Linked DNA regions of Oryzias latipes. The protein of the gene in region 1 interacts with the protein of each later gene in a pairwise test. Links are inferred from orthologs where the notes say so. Each region holds a gene or a part of one and is shown on either strand. Other genes may lie near its edges. The genes, in order: cluap1 and cinp.

Region 1 (3,738 bases):
GGAGCTGAAGAAGCAATATGACCTTTACGAGAAGAAATTCCGAAACCTCAGCTTTCTGGAGTCTCAGCTGGAGGAACACCACAGACTAGAAAAGGAAAGGTTTGAGGTACGGATATAGAAGCACTGAGGGCTTCTCATTAGTTTCTTTTAAATTGAGTTTTTGATTAATAATAAACATTTCAAATATGTTTGCCTCAGTCAAATGTGACACTGTCTCTTTAATGCTAGAAAACCAGAATATATTTTTTTCTTCCATTACTTTTTTAGACAAAGATAATAAAAGCAAAAGATAACTGTTCTTTGAGTGCAGAAGGATCTGTTTTTTTCTGCAGAAAATGATTAAAAGTGCTTCACTTTCCATGGTCTGTGTCGCCTCTTTTGTAGGAAGCTGAAAACACTCTGAGGATAATGCAGCACAAACTGAGAGAGGAGAAACTTGACCTGATGAGGGGCTCCTGTGAGATCAAACACACACTTTAAGCAAAGTCCCATGTCCCAAATATCTTTAGCTCAAAGCAGTTTCTTGATTATTTCTTCTGAAGTGACAAATGAAGACTCTGACTTGGGCGTCATTGAGGATGAAGGTTCCGACAGCGACCTTGAAGAATCTCGGCCTTCAAAGCCGCGGCCCATGAGAAACGGCCTCATGACTGGTAAGCAGACAGCTTGAAGAAGAACATAATCTCTCAACGTGTACATAGTAAACCAACCTTAAAAAAGGAGAAAAAAGCGTTCATTTAGGTTTTCTCAAAGGAAAACTTGGATTCTAAAACTTGGTTGAACTGCTAAATGTCAAAGAGACTGTACCCCATGATCCCAGCTCCCACAGTGCAAAAAGTATACACCAACCACCAAAAGAGTACAGGTTGTCTGTTAATAACAAAGCCATTCGCACTCTATTGCCTTATATTTTATAGTTTTAACCTTTGATTGAGCTTAAGCGTAATTGAGCTTTGAAGCAGGAGAAGTGGAGCCTTTCAATTGCAGAAAAAAACTTTATGAAAACTAAGATGATGACATATATAAAGAGACCTTAGAACTGTGAGCAGAAAGGAAATTTTCTCTATTATTTTAAGCATTAAAAAAATCTCTGTTTAAAGTGTTCCTCTGTGCTTTACACAGAATGTGTTTAGAGATAGTTTTGACCATCTTTACCATTATCAGTTCACTTTTAAGTTGTGTCTGAATTCCTTCACTACTCACTATTTATTGCACTAAAGAGTGCGATAAATCACCATTTTGTGAGCTGTCCGAAAACAATTCCAAAATTCAGTGCCCTTTGGAAGTCTCTGCAAAAAACTAGTGTGCATCAATGCTCACTAGATTGGCAAATGTAGACCACAATGCATTGCATTTGAATGTTTTTTTTCATGTGAAAAAACATATTCAAATTCATTTTTTATAAATCATTCAAGTCTTTTTTAGCAGAACCCAGTGGATTCATAAATAGTATTTGTAAAGAAGAATTTCTGGAAATTGATGATGTCACATTTGCCGTTTAAAAGAAACACATGAGGATGATGTCCGAACTGTTTTTAAAATCCAGTCCCACACTATATGGATGCTATGGAGTAGTGAGGGAATTTGGACCTTGTCTTAAAGTTATTTAATCCCAAAATTTAAAGCTAAAACGTAAAAAAAAAAATCCAGAAAATCCATGAAACTCTGGTTCTCAAAAATGCTTTTTTTTTCTTTTCCAACAAGGGAGAGGAGGACTTTTTATTGGTAACATGCAGGGTGGTGACAGCGATGAGGTTAGTGATGTTCTTACTCACATTGCTTCCTTCATATTCATTCCATGGGCTGAGACTTCCAACATTCAAAGGATTTATCGCTTTTTGCCTTTTGCAACTTTTGATGGTAATTCAACTTTACCTGATGTCCAGTTATCCTGTGTTTTCTGCTGACCTCACCACTTAGTCTTTTTTCATTAATGTTTACTCATATCTCATAAGGTATTTTTACCAGTGTCCAAAACATCAGTCCCTCAGTTCAAAAAACACCCGAAAGGAAAGGTTTGTGCAAGACAAACGCCCACTTTATGTTTTTTTTCCAGCTCCTTGTGTATTTGAAGGAAAAATCAATCCTCAAAGTAAATGTTGGGAAATATTTATACTACTTACAGAAGTTAAAAATGTCAGTAATATTCATTGAACATGCTTTGCAGACAAGAGCTTGAATAAGAGAAAAGGTGCTGTCGCATTTTTTCCATAAAACATCAGAGTATCATCAGAACGAGCTGCACCAACACTTCTCACTTTTGAGCTAAAGGTGGATTTTTCCTTTAAATGACTTGAGTTTTCTGTTCACGCTAAAAGGCTAGTGTGTCCTGTCTAAAGTAGTGGAAACATTTGACCTGGTTATGTGTTTAGCTAAATAATCAAAGCATAGATTCCCATGTGATTCTACAGCCTGTGTGCAGAACCCGTCGAGTTTCTCCTGTTAGATTTGACTGCTCAGAACAGACTATTGCTCATGACTTTATCCCTGTTAATCTAGACTGATGACAGTGAAATCGATGTGGACGACGACGATGATGAGGAAGATGAGGAAAGAGAGGAGGAGAGCAAGGATTTGGAGGATGATAGTTTCGAAGGTCCCATGTCTAGAAACAACCGTCCTTCAATTGGAGCAGTGAGGCCTGCTCTGCTGGATGAAAGTGATAATGACTTTTAAGAAAAGAGCTCACCAAATTCTATAATTTGTCTGTTTCTAACTTGTATTTTAAGTTGGACCATGATATCAGCTTATCTCAAACGTATAAACATTGTTATTTACAGCATATATGTGGAGTGAAAATAGCCTCAACGGATTTGAGACTATTTTCTCTTCACTTTATGATGTAGCTCTTGTTTTTGACTGTATGAACTATCAAAATCCCTAACTGCATAGTAGTTTTGTTGTCTGTTTGTAATTCTTAAATTATTTTAAAGCCTTTTAATACATAAAAAAATAAAGAAATGGTTGATGTTTCCTTTTATGATGGAAAAGTAAAAAGCCTTTATCTAATTATTTGTTGTACTTATTATAGACATTGTCTATTTTTTTGTTTTGTGCCCACTACAATAGACACAGAAAGACTTAATTATTAATATTTCCAAAACGTTTTGACTTAAATCAGTGTGAATACAGTTTTTTTTTTTTTACAAATTTATTACCGATAAGTATAAACGCAATTACAAAACATGAATGAGTGCAAGTTTTTTTTTTCCCCAGATGCTTATTGTAAATATCAGGTAAAGTCCAAAGATATCAATATACATTGTACATTAATGCAAACTTATAAATAAAGAATGACATAAAATGAAATGCCAGTAAGAATAAATAAAAGTACAGAATGAGTGTGTAAAACAATGTTTGACATAACATTACAATTTTTTTTAAAACAATTTTATTTTGTAAAATAAAGGACGTTTTAAAACTTTTTGAAAAAGTAATTTATTTAGCAAAAATGTATTTAAAAAAAATAATTGAGATTTAGTTGGAAAATGTACATTTATACATGTAAAAATTAGAGTGGAAAAATTTGATTAAAACTTAACTCCTGTTGATGGAAACCAAACAATATACGTTTTAAGCAAAGAAAAGGGGACCATACATTTCTTTGTAACTAAAGATAATATCACAGAAAATTTGCCAAAAAGATTTTAGTGGGTTTAATTATACGTTTTTTGCAGGATAACATCGATTGCAGAAAAATATTTTTTTTGTTTGTTTTTTCTTTTTTTTGTCAGGAAG
Region 2 (4,376 bases), on another chromosome or scaffold:
TGCAACTACGGATTTTTTGAATTTTTAAATAAATACTTTTTTGAGAAGCTTTTATTATCTCAGCCATTGTTTTGGTGGCTCCACTCTGCACTGGCGGTCCTTTGGTCGCATACAACACGCCGTCCGGGGTGGGTACCGGATGTTCTCGGGTTACCGGATGTTCTCGGGGTCCTTCGGGGTCCTTCGACCAATGATGACGTCGCACTATTTGATTGGCTGTAAGTTGCCACGACCAATGAATTAACGTCGCTAAGTTTTTTTAAAAACTTTATTGACAATTGCGGTATCATACATTAACAATGACATTAACGTTAACAACGAACAATAACAATGTAATGAATATTGCTTCGAAGATCAGTCACCATTGCCAAACATAATATATTAACATAGAAAATAAAGAATAGAGGGGAAAAAAGAAACAATGAACATAACACACAAATAAATAAAAACATAAGTAAAATAAAATAAAGGAACATAGAAAAAATCTAAATAGTCTAATACTAGTTAAGTTAGGGGTACTCGTGAAGTTTGTATTTCTGAACAAAACTAAGCAATTTCAAGCCATTCTTCTTTTTCATATAATGAAGTGATTGAAAGTAAAAACAGAGCTCTTTATTAAATGTTATAAAAAGTGGTTTGGTCTTCAAAACTTGACCTCACCAAGATGGCGGTGCTCTCCTCCTATGAGGAACCACGTGATGTCTCCTCTAGTGATATAACTCATTGGAAGGACCCTGAAGGACCCCGAGAACATCCGGCAACCCGAGAACATCCGGTACCCACACCGGAAGGGGGCGCTGTGGACCGTGCTAACCATAGAAGAAGAACGTAACCCTTCCGGGGGGGGGGGGGTCCAGATGATCGATATGGAAGGTGAGTGGAATCAGATCCAGCTTAGAGGACCAAACACGGAAGGACTGGCGTCTGCACGAGTCCTTTCTGGAAACGGTGGGAACATCCGGTCACGTGACTCGTCAACCCCAACTATGCAGAATTTGAGCGAGTAGTATCGTGAAAAAAGAACACTTCGTTCGTGAACGACAGGAACGGAAGAAAAGCGGCGGGGTTCCGGGGAGCAGAAGGGAGGGGGGGGGCTTTTCAACAGTCCAGAGGTGGATGGGGGGGGGGGGGGGGCAGCGGGTGGAAGAGGGTTTCAGGTGTGACCAAAGGTCAGGTGTAGCAGACTGGTGAGAGCCGCCAGAGAGAGGAGGAGGAGGAGGAGATGAAGATGCTGAGGTTCTCTCTGGAACCAGGATCATAGATGTTCTGGAGATGAAAGCAGGGATGATGATGATGATGATGATGAAAGGCTGGAGAGGCTGGAGACACCAGGAAAGAGGAGGTTCATGGATGAAGGAGGACATGAGGGAGGAGGCTGAGTCACTGCAGCGCCCCCTATAGGGAGCAGCAGATTAGTTTGACCTCCAGACTGTAAAGGTGGAGCTCATGTTCTGCTTTAGTCTTCATCTTTCATTCATGTTTGTTCCCTTTTGGGGTCATGGGGCTGCTGGAGCCTATCCTGGCCACTCGTGGGTGAAAGTGGGAGGCAACCTGGACAGGTGGGCAGTCCGTCGCAGGGCCACAATCACACACTCATGCACACTCACACCTAGGGACACTTTAGAGTCACCATGAAGCATTAGTCTGCCTCTCCTCCCTCATTAGATTGATCCAAACACCACCTTCACCTCTCCACCACATTCTTTCTACTGTATCCCACCCCCTTCAAGCTCCGCCTTCTTCAACTTTGCAGCACGATATGTCCCATGATGCTTCACTGTGGGAACCTGCTGGTGAGGCATGAAGTGGATCTTCACTGAAGGTCACCTTGTTAGTCGTTCCTGGTCGTCTTTTCATGATGTCGTTTTCTAACACGTAGTTTCTGCAGAGCGGCCGGATTTCATTAGAAATTCACCTCCGTGTTTTGGGGGGAACTTTTGGGGCAGAGTAAGCCTGCCCCCATTTCCCATCAGGCATCTGTTCACACTCTCTCCCACTAGCTTACAGTCCCTCAAACCCTGATATTAGTGGTGGAACAGAAATCTATCCAGGCGTACAGTTTAGATCCAGAAAACAAAGATGTTTATCTGCAGGTGGATTATCAGAAGGGGGCGGAGCCTCTGCCCGCCGTAGTGGCTTCCACATCACACTGACAAGCTTTTTGAATGACAATGATATGAATACAGAAATCCTCAGAAATGCAGTTTGAATCTTAAATTTCTTTAGAAATGTCCTCCATCATCAGAGAAAAGCCACAAGAACACGTTAAAACACCAAAAACAGCATTTTCCACGGAGCCACGCTTTGTAAGTCTGCAGGGTTCTCATGCCAGGGTGTTTGTTTGACAGGGAGATCATCAAACAGGAAGTGCCATGCAGTCACAGGAAGTGCACGAAAGGTCAGAGATAATGCTGCCGACTGGCACAACTTGATGCTGAGGTGGGACAAACTGAGCGAGGACGGCTTTGACGTCGCAACCAACATCGTCAACATCAAGAGGTGATTGTGTTTCTAGACCGTACGCCGTCACAGGAAGTACTGGTCCCTCCAAGATGACATCACTTCCTCTTTGTGCCAACATTGTAGCCATTGAGCAACTTTATTTAGATTTTCTTCCGTAATTCGTATGTTTGTTGTTCCAAGATGGTAAACTTTGTAATTCATTGTTAAATTATCAAAATAAATGTTAACATTTCCCGACAGCTCAGCCTCCTTTACGACACTCCCTCCCCCCCTCTCCTGGTCGGGCTGGGGAGGATCTGGTTCCCCTTATGAACACACGGTTCACTTTGGCAGCGTGCATGTATCTCCACCCCCACCTGCACGTGCACACTGCTCCCTGTCTGCCCCCCCCCCCCAACCCACAGTGTCTTGATGGACAGATGTCTTCAGATTTTCACCTTGGATGTAACATTTGTCTTTCCAGCAGATCTGGTAGAATTGTTACAGCTTAATATAATAACTTATTCAAATCAGTGCTTTTATCCCCCACTTTTTCACCTCTATTCCCTTTACTCCCCCCCCCCCCACACACACACTAAATGTAACTAATAAATAAAAAATAATAAAGTAGCAAAAAGGGGTTTATTCAAATCTACACTCTGGTTTCTGGAGTTCTATAACCTCTTTGTAGTAAATCCTGTCCAACAAAAAGGCCTTCAGCTCTGATCTGTTTGCTACGACGGAGTTTTAGGGCCACCAAAAAAAAAGTTAAATTACGACATTTTATCTCGTACATTTACGAGAAAAAAACTCGTAATTTTATTATTTATTTTTTTTGGTGGCCCTAATACTCCGTCATAGTTTGCTCAGCTGTTGGACAGAATAAGTTAAAAAAAAACAGCAGAGAAGTCCCCCCCCCCCCGATTACAGCGCCCAAAACTAAAAGACCGTCGCTGTAATGCAGCAGTGTACATGCATGTATGTATATACATGTATGTACACTGTATGTACATGTATTTACTCTTTACATACATGTATGTTGTTTTTTTCACAGACAATGAAAATATCAATGATGTTACTCAGAACTGATCTTTTTAATTATTTTTTTTAATTATTCAACATTGAATCACAAAGTTTACACCTCGGAAGAACAAACATACGAATTACAGAAGCATATCTAAATAATGTTGCTCAATGGCTACAATGTTGGCGCAAACAGGAAGTGACACAACGTTCCCACATGCGGGCACCAATCGGCGAGCCGTTCCAGATCAGGTAGCTACATATGACATCACAGGAAGTCCATGTCTGCGCGCCTTCAGCTCACTTCCTGTCCGTCTGCAGAGCGTTCTGCCCGACTACACCTGTTTGACCTGCAGGTGTCTCCTGCCACTCAGCGTGCACTAATGTCCTGCCCGTCACTCAGAAGGTTCTGACCCGTCCTGTGCTCCTCAGGTCTCAACATGAGCAGCTGCTGGTTCCTGAAGCTTCATCATCGTCTTCCTCCTCAGCGACCCTGCAGCCCTCAGGAGCTGCAGAGCTGCAGGCTCAGTGCCTCAAACTGCTGGACATCGTGGAGAAAATGGTGAGTTCCTTCAGACCTGAAGGCACTGAATAAAAGAGGAGGAATGCATCGGAACCAGAACTGGACCTGCTGTGACCGACCAGAACATACAGACCCAAAGCCACACCTCTGGCTCCTCCCTGCTGCTCCAAATTTAGGAGCATTTGGAGCCATAGTGGTGTCCGAGAGTGTTCGTTTAGGGGGAGACGTAGCGACCCTCCGCCAGTAGGGCGTTCGGCGGCGTGCTGTACCATGGAGAGGCTTTTCTTCACGTGGGCGTGGTCTGACGCTCAGAAATGTCATTTAACGATTTTATAAAGTTATCAAAGCGACATCATGTTTTCCGAATGCTGGCAGCTACACGCTGACG

Evidence for each region.
Region 2: the proteins of cluap1 (region 1) and cinp interact in binary tests that used the Homo sapiens proteins (3 or more experiments, as listed by UniProt). The two-hybrid records come from large-scale screens. The link is inferred for Oryzias latipes from reciprocal best matches to the Homo sapiens genes CLUAP1 and CINP.

The regions. Positions count from the first base shown.
Region 1 is NC_019862.2:10,331,608-10,335,345, forward strand, and holds the end of cluap1 (clusterin-associated protein 1), read left to right. Parts: coding exon 1-106; intron 107-384; coding exon 385-457; intron 458-542; coding exon 543-653; intron 654-1,704; coding exon 1,705-1,754; intron 1,755-2,499; coding exon 2,500-2,676; 3' UTR 2,677-2,964; downstream 2,965-3,738. UniProt on the Homo sapiens protein: Required for cilia biogenesis. Appears to function within the multiple intraflagellar transport complex B (IFT-B). Key regulator of hedgehog signaling.
Region 2 is NC_019880.2:161,320-165,695, reverse strand, and holds the start of cinp (cyclin-dependent kinase 2-interacting protein), read left to right. Parts: upstream 1-1,575; 5' UTR 1,576-1,759; coding exon 1,760-1,793; intron 1,794-2,348; coding exon 2,349-2,499; intron 2,500-3,897; coding exon 3,898-4,027; intron 4,028-4,376. UniProt on the Homo sapiens protein: Component of the DNA replication complex, which interacts with two kinases, CDK2 and CDC7, thereby providing a functional and physical link between CDK2 and CDC7 during firing of the origins of replication.